Linked DNA regions of Tamandua tetradactyla. The protein of the gene in region 1 interacts with the protein of each later gene in a pairwise test. Links are inferred from orthologs where the notes say so. Each region holds a gene or a part of one and is shown on either strand. Other genes may lie near its edges.

Region 1 (9,096 bases):
GGCTGAGCTGAATTCGAAGCAAGGTGCTGAGATGGCTCTGTCTCTGATAGTTCAGTCTTGAGAATTGAGCGCATAGAATCAGCTGAAATGTCAGGTCATAAGTGGGCAATCTACAAATGAAGAAATGCGGATGGCCAAGGAACATATGAAAAATATTCTCCACTGGTAATAAAACAATGTAGAAGGCCCAACTGGAAGACAAATCGGGAAAGGGTTTTGAAAGATCACAATGTTTCTGGTGACAGAGGCTGGCTTCTTCACCTGCAGTGCTGGAAATGACTCCATAAGGGAGATACCACCCTCATTTTGCTGATGAGAAAGTTGAGGCTCAGAGAGGAGAAGTTAACCAATCTCATGTCTCACAGCTTTCGAGTGAAGAAGCCAAGACTCAAACACCATTGCATCGGCTGTAGGTACACACACCAACTTTTCTGTCTCTACACTGAGTACTTAACCCAGATGGGACAGCATCATTTTGAGAGTTCTGGTAGAACAGAATTTGAGATCTACCTCTGTCCTCTGTACCCGGGGGAACTGTGCGAGTTGTGGTTTGGCCATCAACCTGAGGCCAGCACAGAGGCTGTGGAGCCATTGGCAATTTCTCTTGAGATGAGATTTTTTTCCAGTTTCTTTCTTTTTTTTTTAATTTTTATTAATAAAACCAATCAACATACAATATGGACATTCTTTTTTTATCACATAGTTGTGTATTCATCATCATGATAGTTTATTAGAACATTTGCATCAATTCAGAAAAAGAAATAAAAAGAAAACAGAAAAAAATTCATGCATACCATACCCCTTACTTTTCAGTGTTTCTTGTAAGGTTTTCAGGGAGGAAGGGTGAAGAAAACATATTTATTGTGCAATTTCTATTTTGTAATTTCTATACACCTGGCACTTTACATATAGAGATATTTAATCCTCTTGATGCTGTGAAACAGGTACATTTTTCACCATTTTGGTGATAAGGCCACTGAAGATCAAGAAAAATTGTCTCCTTCCCTAGTCCACATACTCAGTTAAACAGCAGCAGAGCTGATGTTCTAATGCAGGCTTTAAAATCCAAAGCCTTGTTTCTATCTCCTGTAACAGTGTCTCCCCAAAATGGAAGGAAATCACAGGTTTCCCGGTGTCTTCAATGCATTGACATTTTATACTGTGTCTTTGCCTTCATAGTGTCGCTGTATGTACCCATTGTGATGCCTTCACCTATCTTTCTGGAGGCATTTGTTTATAGCCCCAGGACAGGGCTGAGCATAATAACCCTCCCAGAAAATTATCTTTCCTGTAAGGATGGGATTCTTTGAGGAATAGTCAAGCAATTGGTAGTTTGGAATTTCTAGAGGAATTTTTTTTTAATTAAGTACCTTTGTTTGTCACTTTACAAATGTCACTTTACATTTGAACTGTAAAACAAAACAAAGCCAAAATATAAACTTAACAAGGAACTCAAAGAAACCTAACCGAAAACCAAACCCATATTTCTTGATTAAAAGGAACTTAAAACCAAAACTTAGAGTTGACGCCACCAGTATGACAGGGCAGGTGTTTTGGGATCCCATGTTCCCTTTACTAAATTGGGAAAAGCTGAGCCTTCCTGAATAAATTGAGTCCTAGATTGCAACCATGCCTTCCAAGCATCTCCCAGTCTTACTCATGCTACCTCAGCTTGAATTCCTCTTTCTTCCACTTGAAAAAACCTCAAGCTCAGCCATTTCTTCTATGCAATAGATCTATAAACAAAATACAATTGTGTCCGAGGTTCCTGATATTAAGGGATGTGGGATCAGCTCAAGCGCCTGCTGATGAACAAGGGGCAACCAACAGGCAACCGAAAACTTTCTCCTTGTAGAGACAGCCTATTCTGGAGATGCTGAAGAGACCTTTTATATAGCAAGGAGGCAACACTCCCATCTCCACTGTTTTTTCCCAGGTCTGAGACCTGTCACTCACAATTCCAGGCCTTGATCCACTGGCTTTTCTTTCCTCTCCTGGAGCACACCCTTCCAGGGCATGAGCTGTGTTTGGAGCGCCTGCCGAATGCTTCTTTCCACAGGTAGGGCCCCGAATCTTTGGGCCTGCTGTTTTCCCCACATCTTCTGGGGGCCAGCTGATCTCTAAGAAACTCTGGGAAGTACCAGGAAGGAACTTTGAGTTCACTTTTGATCTGGCCAATGACAGCCCTTTCAGTTAAGTGACCTGGTCTTTTTTCTATCACCAGGGCTGCATCAGAGGTTTCTCTTTCAGTGTTTGCTCTGAAGGAAGAGATCAGCCACCACTGAAACGCATACGTGCGGGTCAGCAAATGAACACAGAAACATTCTCTTCTAGGTCATATTACCTGCCACCTCAAGAGCTTCCTTTTGTCCTGATGCTGGCTTGGGGTCCCTTTCACTGACCCTTACTCGCAACGACCTTTATCTACCTCCAACCCCGGTGTCTTTCCTCACTTTAGAAGGTGGTAAGTGTACACTAACTCAGCTTCCACTTGAATCCGCCCTAAGTGTTCCTCGGTGTATTCCTTTGAAGCAATGGCTGTACATTATACAAATCAAACACGCTCAACACGACTTTGATATTTACTAAGTGATAATATCAACGTCTTATCTGTCTTCTCCATGCTTTCAGTAGCCAGATTATAGTTTTCTTTTTACAGCATGCTTTGTGCTGGGTTCATCGTGATCCTTTCCTCATTGTGGGGATTCAATAACCACATAATGAACCCCTCCTGCTAGAAGATTAAAGTAACAAGAAAGTTTAACCCTTCCACTCTTCCTCCTTTTTAGTTGTCCCACCAGGTCACAAGCTCGCTCATTACTTAGAAGAATGCAGAATGACATTTAAGGGTTTTTAAACTGTATCAAATGTAACTTTAATTGGCTGAATGCAAATGATTAAATACAATTACATACTTAAGTCATTTTAATCTAAGACCATTGCAAGACATAACATACCTGAGATGATTTGCATGCATAAGAAACAGGAAATGAGTAGGGGGAGTCCATCTACTTGAGTTCAAGGCTAGGTAATAGAAGAAGAGATTTACATACATGAGATTATTAAGAATACCAGTAATTTTAATTCCTATTTCCCTTTTCCTATTCTTTTTATCAAAATTTGTCTCCAGATCCTGTGATCGATTGAAGGCATCAATGACCCCAATTAAATTAACAGCTTCTCTATCCGTCTTTTGTTTGATAACTTAGAAGTCCCTGCCCACTCTGAGTTGAGGTGGCCTGGGAACTTGCATATCTAGTAGAATATGACAGTGAGACAGTTCTGAGACTGGACCTCAAGGAGTCTTGTGTGTTTCTGCTTCCTCTTGGGCTGCTCTGAGGTCACCATGACAACCAGCCAGACTGAAGGCCATTGCACCTTTCCAGCTGTCATAATCTACCTGGTTCCCAATGGGCCCTCCGACCACAGACACCTGAGTGAGCCCAGCTGAAATCTAATTGGTTCAGACTAGCAGACCCACCTGCCAACGTGTGGCTAGATCCATGGCAAATGATAAATAGTTGTTGTTTTATACCCATAAGTTTTGAGATGATTTGTTACACAGTGATAGCTCACTGGTTTAGGTCCTATATTAATAGGGTAAAACGTGTTGCTCCCCCTCGGGGCAATAACATTTTACGAATTGTCAACTACTTAATTAAATGAATGTAACTTTGAGAAGGCCTTCAGATTCAGTAATCAGTCAGGGGGCCTTTAGGGAGCATAGTGGAATCTTCCGTGGATAGTAGTATGATCCTCGTGAAAGGCCTGGTGTCATAGAAATAAATAAAAATAGCTTTAGGGTAGGGTCTGTGACAAGTAGCTGACACCTATTAAAGATTTCAGAATCATAGTTGGCTGCCACAACCCCTCTCCAATCACTCCTTCTATCCTTCCATTTCCCTTTTTAGCCTTCCTCGCTCACAATTTACAGAAGCTATGTTGTAACAGTCCCCAGGCCTGACCTCAAGCAGCCTCATGTGTTTCTGTGTCTTCTCTGCAGTCACCATGTGACATGCCTCAATCACCACCCGCTCTTCTCAGTCTGTTGCTGGCAGTACTTCTCATCCTTTTATCGACTATTCTCCAGGTTTTTGCATTAAAACGGTAACGCATTGTCTGAGCAAGACAAATATGGCTTCCAATCCTGTCTCCCGTCTCACATGTAAGGTCTTTGGACGTGTTAATGGTCAGTGTTCATGTACTCTGCAGGATGGTGATAAGAAAGGGCACTCAGAAGTCTGTTCTCATTCTCTCTCCTGCTTAACTTTGACAGTTAAGGAAAGAAATTAGAGAAAAAATGATGCTTATTGCTTTTAAGAAAGTTAGTCCAAGGTTCTTTTGATCCCCCATAGAGATAGTTTCTGCTGACTTACAAACTTTGAGCTATGGGTCAAAGCTTTGGCAAATATTAACCCTCATTTTACTGTCCTTGATATTAGCAGTCAGAGAAATGAAAGTTCAGAAGTTTCAGATGATGTGGATGGATCCAAAGTCAGAGATATGATTGGAGGTGAAGCTTTAAATATACAGTAACAGTTTGATTATACAATTACTGCGTTTTAAAATAAATACAAATTTTAAAGTGACCTTCTATTCCAAATTAGGGATATAGAACACATCCATTCTTAGGTAACTCCTCACAAACCACATGGGTGCTATTGCAGACAAATAAAGGAACTTGCCAGCTTACTACAGACATTTCATTAACTTGAAAATCCACTAAAGACACCTCATAAATTCAGCTTTAGGAAAAGACCAGGAATATGTCACTGAAAGGGGAAAGCTAGTAGAAAAGTTGGGGGAACTCTGTTAGCCTACAAGCAGTATCATAATGAGGTGTGTTCTAGAATAAAGAGGCCCAGCTCAGTGTTTGAAAACTTTTGTTACTACTTGTGGGAGTTTGCTTAGGTCATCTAACTTCCCTTGTCCTCAGTTTGCTTGTGTATAAAACGTGGGCTTGGAGTAAATCAGTGTTTCCCAATATGATGATCTGTGGAACAGTTCTTTTGCAATTTTTCTGCAGAGTCCACTTTATCAAAGAAGAAAATAGGAAATACTTCACAGTCTTAGATATTTTATTCATTCCTCCTTTACTCCTTGCAATGACCACATGATGTGTTATTAGTCTCGCCTTACCCAGTATTGCGTTTTTGTTTTTTTTTCCCCCCAGCATTGCTTTTAACCACATCGTTATTTATAGTGACCACTGCAGCCTGTGAGAGAAGAGCAATACGGCACTGCTCTGGGGGCAGTGGGCTCAGTCCTCCACACCCTCTCCAGCTACCCCTGTTCCCCAGCTACCAGCCTTATGGTTTTAAATACTATTTATATCTGGATGAGTCCCAAATCTTATAATTCCTTCCTGACCTCTCCCACATTAAACAGCTCATGAGTTGGGACCGCACATCAAGGAACTGAGAAAGCCTTCTTGACCAAAGGGGGAAGAGAGAAGTGAGACAAAATAAAGTGTGAGTGGCTGAGAAATTTCAGAGTCGAGAGCTTATCCTGGAGGTTATTCTTAAGCACTGTACAGATATCCCTTTTTAGTTTATAGTGTATTGGAGTGGCTAGAAGGAAGTGCCTGAAACTGCTGAGCTGTGTTCCAGTAGCTTTGATTCTTGAAGATGATTGTATAACAATATAGTTTTCATAATGTGACTGTGATTGTGAAAACCTTGTGTCTGATGCTCCTTTTATCCAGAGTTTGGACAGATGAATTAAAAAAATCAAGTAATGGGGAATAAAGGGTAAAAAATTGGGTAGATGGAAGTACTAATGGTCAATGAGAGGGAAAGTAAGGTATGAGATGTATGAGTTTTTTCTTTTTATTTCTTTTTCTGGAGAGATGCAAATGTTCTAAAATGGTCATGAGGAAGAATTCACAACCATATGATGATATTGTGAGCCACTGTTTCTACACATGTGTGTATGCTTCTCAATAAAAATATTTTTTAAAAAACAAAACATCCCAAAGCTTACTATGACCAAACCAGAATTTTGATTCACAGTTCTCCTCCAAATTTTTCTTGTTTTATGCTTTTCAGTAAATACCTTCCTCATCCATCTGGTTGCTCAAACAACAATTTAGTTAGGAATTGTTGATTTCTCTCATCTCCTCAGTCCCTGAATTCAGCCCACCAACATGCCTTGTCATCTCTACTTTCAGAATGCATCTGGAACTGACGGCTTCACTTTATTTGCATTTTTATCCAAGCTGCCATCAACTCTTATCTAGACAACTGCAGTAGCCTCCCAAGTGGTCCTCTAGCATCTATTCATACTCTCCCCTCCCCTTACAAAGAGGAGCCAGAATGGTCTTTGAAAATAAAGTTAGACCATGTTATTCGTTTTAAAACTTTCCAGTGGTTTCTCATTTCACTTAAAATCTAAACTGTGCTCTGTGGCCATGCTTGGCCCTTCGCCCACACCCGCATCTCATCTGGATCCTGCTTCCCTACACTGTTTTTGTTCCTCATTTACACCTACTAGCTCTTCCCTCTCCCTGGACAGCTCGGCCTCCAACTCTTCTGGCCATCACTCACTCTCCGTTCAAATGTTACCTCCTCAGAGACGCCTTCCCTGACCACCCCATCAAAGACTATCCTATCTTGTGCAGAAACTGTCACCTTATTTTTTTTTTTGTAACCAAAGTAAAATGATGTGGCTTTATTAAGTATTAGACAGGTCAGGCATCAGAACAATGACTATTATGAGAAATAAAGATGCATAATAAATAGTTTTAAAGAGGTCAATTAATCAATAAGGCAAAAACTTGCCAATCGCATGTGACTCCAATAATGAGGCCTTAAGATGCATGAAAGAAAAAAACTGACAGTGCTACAAAAAGGAGAGCTATCCCAAATTATAACTAGAACTTCCAACATTTTCTCAAAATCATTAGAAAATTAGATGAAAATAAATACTAATGTGTAAGGCTTGAACAATATTTTCCACAAATTTGGCCTCACTGGCCTTGTGGCAATAAATGATGAACACCCAAAGTGTAACAATCACTGGCTATTTATTCAGGCTTTGCCACATGTAATCAGCCAACAGCATTTGTATTTGGCATGTGTTTCTTCTGTCTCTTGGTTTAAATTAGAATTTTTATGCTGTCATTTATTATATCCATTAACTTAATACTCATTTGCTGTTTTATTAACATTTAAGTTGTTGCTATAGGATTTATAATAAGCATTTTTGAATAATCTCATTCTACCATTAAATATGCTCTATCATTACATGTGTCACATCATTTTACTTCTGAAAAACTGATCACTGGCTGTCATGATCTTGTTTTATCTTTTTTCTCTGCATTTCCCTCAACTAGAATGCAAGTCCATGAGCATATCCATCTTGTTTGTTCAATTCTGAATCCCCAGTGCCTTGCACATATAAGTTGCTCAATAGATATTTGTAGAATTAATAAAAGAATTACATTATTTGTCTCGCTCAGGTTTCCAGCCATTTGAATTAAATGCGTGTTTCAAAAGCACATATAAGACTATGTACAATGTCCTCAAGCAGATTTCAATCACATGTACTTATATTTTGGTATAAGAAATGTTTTCAAATGAGATTATCAACTGAATAGGATATATTTTTTTTATTGTGCAAAAATCTAACTGAGAAAGAAGCAAAGGATAAAGCCATTAAAGAAATTGTCAAATACTTCTGCACTGAGGCAGTGGGAACCAGGAAAGAATAAACCTATGATTCTGGTACATTCTTAAAGTCATGTTTTTTGGGCAGAGGCAGGGATCAAAACTACGGATTGTGAAATATGGCTCTCAGGAATTTGTACATAAGTCTTTCTCATTCAGTTCCTCATTACTGATGAGGTCACATACTTGCAGTGGATTTTCTTCTTCTGAACATTTTTTTGTTGACAAATTAAGATGGTAAGGAAAAGAGGAATGCTGAAATAGCTCATGGCTGTCACAACCAAAATAAATGTAAGGGGATGCTGCTAAACTGCTACAAGTGAAATATCTATTTCCTTTGCCTAAGACCTGGGGAGACATGGGGGTGAGAGAACGAAAGGGAAAGGAATTATGGTACCAGTAAGTGACATCTTTGAGATCCTGGCACCACCTAGCGGTGATATATCCTGTTTGAGAATTCAGCCATTTTCTTAAATGGTGGTCCGCAAACTTTCCTTAGTGTGCCTCAGAATCTCCCAGTGAGTTTATAAAACTACCCCACTCTCATAAACGATTCTACAGGCTTGGTGTGCACTTCAGATTTTTTAAAAACAAGTTTCCCAGGTGAATCTACTTAGCTGATGGTTTAAAAACTCGTAGTGATTTACTAGTTCTTGTCATCTGTATTTTCCCCCTCCTCCCCCTTTCCTTCCCTTTCTCCTTTGCTAACATGTTTGAATAGGATATTTTACATTAGAAAATTAAATTGTAAGCAATATTATTTTGAAAATTCCTGAGGATTTTGTGACATATTCAAATCAAAACAGAAGAGAAAGTGTGGAGGGGCAGTAAAAGGGGGAAGTGGCCCCAAACCAATGCTGCAAATCACTGCTCTAATCATCCAGTATCCAACTAAAAGTGGCAGATGTCTTTGTGACCGAATTTCAAGAACCTTCTTTCAATTGTCCGTCATCTCCTATTCTATTGACAGTAACAATTTAAACAAACTTTACAATTTTTCATTTTGAACATACAAACATGTCATTTTAAACTGACAAAAAAGTTACAAAATAGCACAAAGAATTCTCATGTATCTTTCATCCAGATCCCCCAATGATAACACCTTACATAACCACAGTACGATCATTAAAATCAGAAAGCTAACATGAAATCAATACTACTATGTAATCCATAGACAGTATTTGCCTTTTGCCAATGGTCTCAGGGATGTTCTTTTCCTGGATTTTGCATTGCATTTAAATAGCATGTTTCCTTAATCTCCTCCCATCTGTGATAGTTCCTCAGTGCTTCTTTGCTTTTCAACAAACTTGACTCTTTTTTTTTTGCTTGTTTTTCCCTTTTTTTATTTTACTTTTTTTATTATGATCATTCTGTTCTATATATATAATCAGTAATTCATAATATCACACAGTTGCATATTCATCATCAT
Region 2 (8,325 bases), on another chromosome or scaffold:
GGGCACATGAAAGGATGGTACTTCCCTGCCCTCTTTGAAGCTATGAATATGGTATGATGTGCTTTGACCAAGGAAATGTGAGTAGAAGTAATGTGCTATTTCCAGGCAGAAAATTTAAGAGCTATTGACAATTTACCATGTTCCCCATTCCTGTCTCAGCAATGGTGGAAACATATGCTGAGATGAAGTCTCCTTTAACAAAGGTCTGTGAGTAATCCCAATGAGCAGGACCTTGTTAGAGATGCAGTATAAGGGAGAAATAATCCTTCTTAGATCATTACTATTTGGGAATTGTTTGTTACTGCAGCATAATCATGACCATCCTGACTGATATAGGCCCTGGGATGCTAACACACTGACTTTCCAGAGCCCAAAGGAACAGTACTCACCTGTTCACTCTCTGAAATCACTGAGGTCAGGCGTGACTCTTTGGATATACAGAACTGCTGGGCACTATACCAGGTCTTTGGGATGTGAGAAAAGTAATAAAAGTTCCCATTGAAGTACTTCCAGCCTTGAGAAACCATCTGTAAAATGTCATCTGAAGAACAAGGGTGAAAGGTGAATACTGGTGTTCCTGTTTTCTCTGGATGTTAGTTAGGCTGGGACACATGCGTGGGATCTCAGAAAGAGTGGTGAATGGGGCCAGGCTATGTGTGCCTCAAGTCCTTGTGTAAAGGTTTTGGGACACTCTCTCTGACCTTGAAAGTCTGCCTAAGACTGGTCAAGCCCCTAAGCTTAGAGAAGGAAGAGTAAGAGTGAATGGATCAAGATCTGCCTCTCTCATAAGAGAAAACAATTCTCCATTGGCCATCACAAAAGGCTGAGCCCTGGGCTCTAAGTAAGGGACATAATAAGAAATGGAGGGGCTTAGGGCATGCCAGAGAGTCTTCCTAATGCTTCTGTCTTCCATGCCTTAGTGTGAAAACACAGGCTGTCCTTTGGTCTCTTCTCCCCTAAACAGCCCCTAAGTCCTTCCCAACTCCAATGCTGAGCCCTCTCTACCTAACCTTCTAGTTTATGCTTGACCTGCTCCTCTGCCCTTTCCCTCCTAACCCACCAGCCCAAAAGCCTCACATCTAAGACAGGCGAGGCCCCATGGGCACTGGTCAGCTTGCAACGTTATTTTCTGAGGCACTTACTTTGCCGGTTGAGCATCTTGCTGAAATTGTCCAAACTGTTCTGAAGTTCCCGGACCTTTGCATTTAAGACAGTGGCTTTATCCAAATCTTTTTTTAACTCTGGGATTTGGGCATAAAAATCATTGGCTTTCTCCCAACTTCTCGTTAACCTCTGGATCTGTGCATTGGCTTTCTCCAGCCCAGTTTCCACCGTCAGGATCTGAGAACGCACATGATCCAAGTTGACATTCACCGCCTGGATCTGAGTGCTGGCCGCCTCCACACCATCGCTATTCCTCTTAATTTCAGGCCCAAGGCTGCTGATATTGTCCACACGGCCCTTCAGCAACCGGGCTTTGGTCTTTACATCTGATATTGTGCCCAAAAGCCAAGGATCTGAATTTGAGAAAGTCAAGAGGTGAGCGAAGAGGAACCCTAGGAGTTGGGGTGTTGTCGGGGTGAAAAAAGACAGGGAAGGGAAGGGACAGGCTCAAACTTCCCGAAGAACAAAGCCAGTCGAAGGTGCTGCCTCCCACTCTCCATTCATTCAGGATCTCTGGTGGGTATAAACAATACAAAGATGGCTAAAAACAGTCTCCCTGGTAGAGGAACTCACAGGCAAGCCAAAGCAAGTATTAGAACCCAGTTCCAAATTTCTTTGAGTCTTCAAGGCACATTTGGTAAAAGGACACCCTCAATCACCCACTGTTCACCTTCCCCACATCCCTCTGGGCTCCATCACTTGATTCGCAGCCCTCTTCTCTCAGCAGCCATCAGCAAATGGGCACCATACCTCCCACATCTGTCCACATGTCCCTCCTTGACCATGGGAAGGGCCAGGGTGCAGGTTCCTAACATGGAAATGGAATCTTCTCCAGAGAAGACTGAAAGGGAGAATAATAGAACCACTTCTCCCCTTCTCTTGCCTCACCTACTTTCCCACTCTCTTCAGGTCACAGACTTGGGTGCATTTAAAGAAGAATAAAAAGAAACCAAGAAGGTACAAAAGAAAGGCCTGTGGGAATGGCAATGTTAGAGACTTAGGAGGATAGGGCAAATCAGGGGTGGGGATGGGGGGGAAGCCTCTGCCCAGAAGCTTCAAGTCTGAGACCAAATGTGCCCTGAGATCACAAAGGAAGAAGACAGACCCTTCCCTCCCTCTGCCTTCTAGAGACCTGGCAGGAGGAAAAAACCTATGCCAGCAATAGAGGGCATGAGACTTAGTAAAGCCAGAAGAGGAAGAAAGCTAAGCCACACATCCAATGAGTGAGTAGAAAGACTAGCTTGATGTGATCTTTGCAAGGACAGGAGAATGAAGAGGCCATAAAGGGGTCTTGGAGATGGGACTCAAACCATGAAGATTTGTTAGCTCATCAGCCAGGTTTTCCATTCCAACTGGGACTGAATATGCACTTAGGACTCATCCCTTGTGGGGCCAGGAAACATTTCACTCACTGCCAAGAGCTATGACCTTCTGAATCTATGGAATACATAGCACAGAGAGAGTGACATGGGATGAAGAAGTAGATGACTATTTCCTGGGGACAAAAGAGCATAGCCTTGAGCACAAACATGCAAGCATTAAACCCAATCAGGAAATGATTGGGAAAATCTCCGAGGCATTGGAAGGAAAGAGCGGCTGCTCATCTTACTAGGTTGGATGGCTCTGTGGCTCTTTTACTAGATGCGGGAAGAGAAGAAATAAGGCAAATAAGAGAAGGTGTAGGCAGGAAAGAACCCTGGAGAGCAGGAAAGACAGGGTCTCGAACATGAGGAAGCTATGGGCCATGGAGGAGGACTGAGCCCAGAAGGTAAGACTGAGGACTTACAGAGAAAGGCCTGAAGCAGGACGGAGGTGGCCAGGACCAGTGCCAGGAAGATTAATGTAGCACAAATTGTGGTCGATTTCCTCAGAAGCAGAGGCTGATCAGTCTTGGAAGAAGAATCTGCCAGAAGAAGAAGCAAACATTTGTTGAAGGAACAGTCAACAGCCAGTACGGGTACAGCTCAGTGAGTAGGTTTCAAGCAGCCACTGGCACTTGCCTCTGGGCCAGAGGGAGATGTTCTGCTTGTCTACAATGAAGTGTGCATCTGGCACCTCTTCCTCTGCAGCCTTCATCCTGCTTTGCTCACCCCTGCAGCTTGCTGCACAGGGATGTCCGACCTCCCCAAGATCCTTTTATCTAGAGGAAATAGGAAGCAAGGCTGGCAGGAGATCCCCTACGTCATCCCAAAGTTCCCCATTTCTGACTTGGACACCTTGTCTGGCCTGGACTGCAATTCAGTCATCTTCTCAAAGATCTGAGCTTTCAGGAAAAGGAGGAGGTCCTGTCACATGGACACTTTAGCCATCTTGTCTCAAAGCTATCTTATTTCTCCTGTAAGATTTCCTTCATCTGTCCGTCCATCCATTCCATAAATATAAATTAAGTGCCTTCCAGGTACCAAGCACCGTACTAGACACTGGGTCACAAAGATGAGTAACTCACCATCCTTCTTTCAGACAGCTCACAAAGTGAAAGGAAAGACAGACCTGAGCAAGAAAATTACAACACAGAGTGGTGAGCATAACAATAGGTGAATACACCCAATTCAAGGGAAGCAGAGAAAAGAGTGATAGAAAGAGCTCCAGGTAGAAGGATTAGCACATTCAAAGGTATGAGGGCATAAAACAGTACCGCATGCTTGGCAAACTGTGAATAAATCTGTGCTGTTGGAGTATAAAGTATAAAACAGGCGAGGCATCTGGGAGCAGACCATGAAGATCCTTTTGGGTCATGCTAGGGTTCTCTCCTGGCTTGTGGGTGACGTGGAATTAATGTAGAGTCTCAGGCAAGGTAGAGTCTCAGGCAATGGAGTGCTTTAGAACATTCTCAATATGGCAAGGGGCATAGGTTGGGGTGGAGGGAACCTAGAAGCAGAGAGCCCAATAGGGAGATCACTGTAATAAAATATTCTACTTTCGGCTATTCAGGCATCTTAGCAGATACAGTATCCTTTTATAATATGCCACTTGGAGATTCAAAATGTGAATGTAAGATTTGGTTTATAAGCCACCTGCTTCCTGCAACTTGTAAACTTCTGAAACAATATTGGGAAGCTCAGTTACATCAGACCAGGAACTGTTCTTTCTCTCTCTTCCTATATAGAGAGCGCCATACATGGGAGATGCTCAAGGCTGAGAAGCTGAAATGGGACTCAATAAAGGATTAAATTTTCTCCTGGGTAGTTACTCCTGCTTTGAAGAAGCCTGCCAAATTTGAGAAACCTGGTACATAGCAGACAGTAAACAAACCTTTTTTTGAAGGAGGAAAAACAGAAGAAAAAGGAAAGGAAGAAAGGAGGGAGGGAGAGAGCGAAGGAACTTGGTCTAGGTAATCAGATGATGGATGGATGGATGGATGAATGGATGGATGGATGGATGGATAGATGGTTGGATGGATGGAAAATAAATGAATGAAAGTTTTGATGGCTGATTGTGACTCGATTCTGAAACCTACACAGTCTGTGGATTTTGTTCTACTCCTTCCCACAGCCTCCAGGAGTTCTCATTTATTCCCATAGCAAATGCATAAGGGGAAGTATAATTTAAACCTTATTGAGAAATGCCTAAAAGCTCTAACCACAGGACTACGAAGCTGGCCTGGCCTTGCTGAATCTGGGCCAGTAGAGCTGGATGACTGGGTGGTATCAGGGACTAAAATGAGCAAGACAAGGAAATAACTACTCAAAGTTGCAGAGGCTTCTACTGCCTTTGGTATTTGAGAGGATCCTATGTCCCTGCCCTGTCCAGCCCTGTCTGGCCAGCCCTATAGTATGTGAAAGCCCCTTGCTGCTCTCTCTCTGGGCTGAGTGGACCTCACCTGGAGCCGCTACTCTGACTGGATAAGGGAACCCAGAGAGGACCCCACACCACTTTCCAAACCTGATCACAAGGATGGAGATAGTCCCAGGGGCTGGTGTCCCACTCATCCTGTCTCATTCCTCCCCACCCATATTGTCTCAGTAGCTTCTAGGCCTCCTGTTTGTTCAAACCTTTCACACCAGCTAATACCGCAAACTGAGGGCCTCACTGTCTTTGCTTGTATCTAACCTTTATGACTACACGTTCTCTCTTCTCATCAGGTTGCTCATCTGGTTAGATGCAGAGCCTTGGTTAGAAGGGGTTAGGATGTTCTGCTTCTGGGCTGTCATGCTCAGTGCCCAGTGTAACCCTGAAGGCCTCAGCCCCCATTCCTGCTCTGGCCCCACATCCACAACCTGTCACAGACCAGACGTGGGAGCAAGAAGAACTCAAGTTACTGAAGACCCTGGTAGAAGAGGCCCTCCGAGTCTCCTCCTGTGGCATTTGAGGGAAAGAGGCTGCCTCATGACATGCCTTGGGAGTGTCTGGCACCTTCCTTCTCTGTCAAGAAGTTCACTTTTCCAAACCCCTGCTAGCCTGTAGCATGAGTTACTGGCAGAACTCCACATGTCCTGCCCAGGTCCCAGGAAAGGATTAGGAAGCCTCACCGGGCAGGGGCCCATTGTGTGAGGAGGGGTTGGGGCTGGGGAGCATTTACTCTCAGTGATGGAAATGGAAGCCTCAAGTGGACATCTGACTAATCACTCGGCCAAAGGTTGGTCATGCATGAGGAAGCCAAGCAAGAAGCAGCCTGATGCCTAGAGTGGGCTGTGGGCCTCTGGGCCATTCAGAGAAGGCAGGCATAAAATCCCAAACCAACCGGAGTTTCATTTCCTGCTTTGAAGGGAAGGAGTGAGTCACAAGCTATTATCCTACAGCCTCACCCATCTGCAGGTTGTTACTGAGCATCTCTTATGCATCCCACAGGTACTCCCTCTGCCCTTGGCCTGATGGCCTGAAAGGAGAAAAGACCAAGAGGGAAGCAGGGGCCTCAGTCACACTTTCCAGGTCTAGACAGCAGGCAGTTCTCCCGGACCCTCAGGAGATGCCCCACTCTTCCAAACAGAAGAGGAACTTTGGGCCAGACCTGGAATGGCCAAAAATCACCGCTGTAACAAGAAAAGGGAAGTCTGTGATTATTTTTTTCCATTTCCTCTCCCCCCTTGCTCCTCGGGTTCTGAGACCTTCTCTGGATAAAGGTGGAGGAAGGAGAGAGCTGGGCGACTTTTCCCCTTCTCTGATTGGGACCAGCCTTATGCTTGGAGGTAGGCAGAGGATGCAATCAATCAAGTTGTCATGGTGAGAGGAAAAGAGAGAACAGGGTTGTTTGGAATGACCCAGCAATGCTGAGAGTTATCACCAAGAAATAGTAATCCAAGTCCCTCCATTCAAGGCATGGAGGACACTGGAGTGGATAATGAAGTCAAGTAGGGACAGGGGAGGAGAAGAGAGAGAAAGCAAGGACTTGAGAGGTGAGGGGAGCATGGCTATGAAAGCAAGGGATTGAGAGGTGAGGGGAGAGAAGAGGTGGATCACAGCAGGTCAATAGGGTCCTCAGGCCTCAGAGTGGAGTCCATAGATAACGGAGCTCTGATGAGGGGCTTGGCCAGCAGACCCAAGATAATCAATGGATTCTGTGCTACCCTCTGGTACATGGCCTGGGAACCCCTCAGTGAAACCAAGAAGGAAGAAGTGGAAAGTGAGAGCGTTCATCTATTCCTTCCTCTGTGTTTGTAATGTGCTTACGATGGCCCAGGGACTGGTGGAACAGAAGGGAAGATAGTGGTAGACCTGCCCTCAGAAAAAGTATTCTCCTACAGAAAATATATGGCATCCTTAAGTTTGGAAGAAAGGAAAACTCTCCCAAGACTGAACAGGACTGAAGACGCTGTAGGATGCCTCCCCAGTCTCCCTTGTCCCTACAAACGGGTTCTACATTTTTAAGACGTCATATGGTAGCAGATTTCTCTGGGACAGTCACAAAAGGCCACACCTTGGTAAACAGGCTGTTGTGTCTGGGGCCATCAGGGATACTGTGATATAGACATGGGTGGGTGGTGGGGCCACACAGGCTGAACTATTCAAGTCAAAGAAGTCTTGGCTATGGCTTAGTGAAAAGAGCAAATTCATGTCAGGAAAGTAATGAGAGACTCTTGGGAAAAAATATGCATGGTTTCTTTTTAGATTTTTTATTCCTTTTTTATATAACCAATGGATAATATAAAAAATCCAGATAAGGGTAAAAAGAAACTGCCCCCATACAGAAAAAAAACAGCTCTACCCGTAGTCCACTCTTCCTACCTATATGCATATGTATATACATCTGCATCCATATCCATAAACTATACCTATATTGATGTCTAACCATAACTAGGTATATATTTGTATAAGTAGGGAATAGCTCCTGTTTTTTCCTCCCCAACATCTTTCCCTTATCCCCACCATTTTTAATACCAAGAATCCCCTTCCTTCAGAAAATTACCCCCCTTTTCAGCACATGGTTCAAATGGAGCTACTAATTCCAGTTCCTGCCATTACAGTGGGCATGCCACAGTGATAGGTCCTGGGGTTCGGGCCTCAAAATAAAATGAGCCTCCTGGGGAGCTTTCTTAAATTATTTCATTAGTGATTTTCACCCTTGGAGCTCCTGTTATTTAAATCTTGGTCCTCCTTGATTGAGTTTTCTCATCTTCTCTCTTATTTGCAATCTCCATGTCATCTTGCTCTATTTCTAAGAAATATCCTTATCTTTATCTAACAACTCTTCTATTTTTTCCACTTTTAATTCTATATTTTAATTTCCTAGACATTTTGGGTTCCCTGAATATTCATTTTTATAGCATCTGTCTTTGTTATATTGTTGCAACATCTGCTCTTCTATTTGTTAGGTTAGCAGTGATAGAGCTTTTTTTTGTTTCCATTTGGTTTTTATTTTTTTCCTCCCTATATTGTAGGCTCTACAGTTATATTCTCTATTTCCCAAAAGTTACTTTTTCTCTATTTGCTAGTTTGGGGCTGTATTTTTCATGTCAGAGACTTTCCTCAGTTTCCTAGGAAGCCTTGGAACCTATTCAGTTTTAAGCTGCTTATGAGCTCTGAAACTGAGTGGGGTTTCTCATATATGGGGTTTGCTGTAGGGTGATCCAACTGTGAAGTGCTCCTGGTGAGGCAGGAACTATTAGTGTTTACAAATACCCATGTTATCCTAGACATTTCCCAGTCTTTCTTGCAGTGAATTGGTTAAGTATTTGCTGGACCTTTATCTTCACTATTTTCAATCTCTTCCACCCCTACCCAATG

The links.
Region 2: the proteins of GRAMD2B (region 1) and CD207 interact in binary tests that used the Homo sapiens proteins (3 or more experiments, as listed by UniProt). The two-hybrid records come from large-scale screens. The link is inferred for Tamandua tetradactyla from reciprocal best matches to the Homo sapiens genes GRAMD2B and CD207.

The regions. Positions count from the first base shown.
Region 1 is NC_135347.1:1,299,383-1,308,478, forward strand, and holds the start of GRAMD2B (GRAM domain-containing protein 2B), read right to left. Parts: upstream 3,312-9,096; 5' UTR 3,295-3,311; intron 3,025-3,294; 5' UTR 2,978-3,024; coding exon 2,958-2,977; intron 1-2,957.
Region 2 is NC_135343.1:44,356,272-44,364,596, forward strand, and holds the start of CD207 (C-type lectin domain family 4 member K), read right to left. Parts: upstream 3,278-8,325; 5' UTR 3,241-3,277; coding exon 3,165-3,240; intron 3,068-3,164; coding exon 2,951-3,067; intron 1,518-2,950; coding exon 1,143-1,517; intron 542-1,142; coding exon 390-541; intron 1-389. UniProt on the Homo sapiens protein: Calcium-dependent lectin displaying mannose-binding specificity. Induces the formation of Birbeck granules (BGs); is a potent regulator of membrane superimposition and zippering.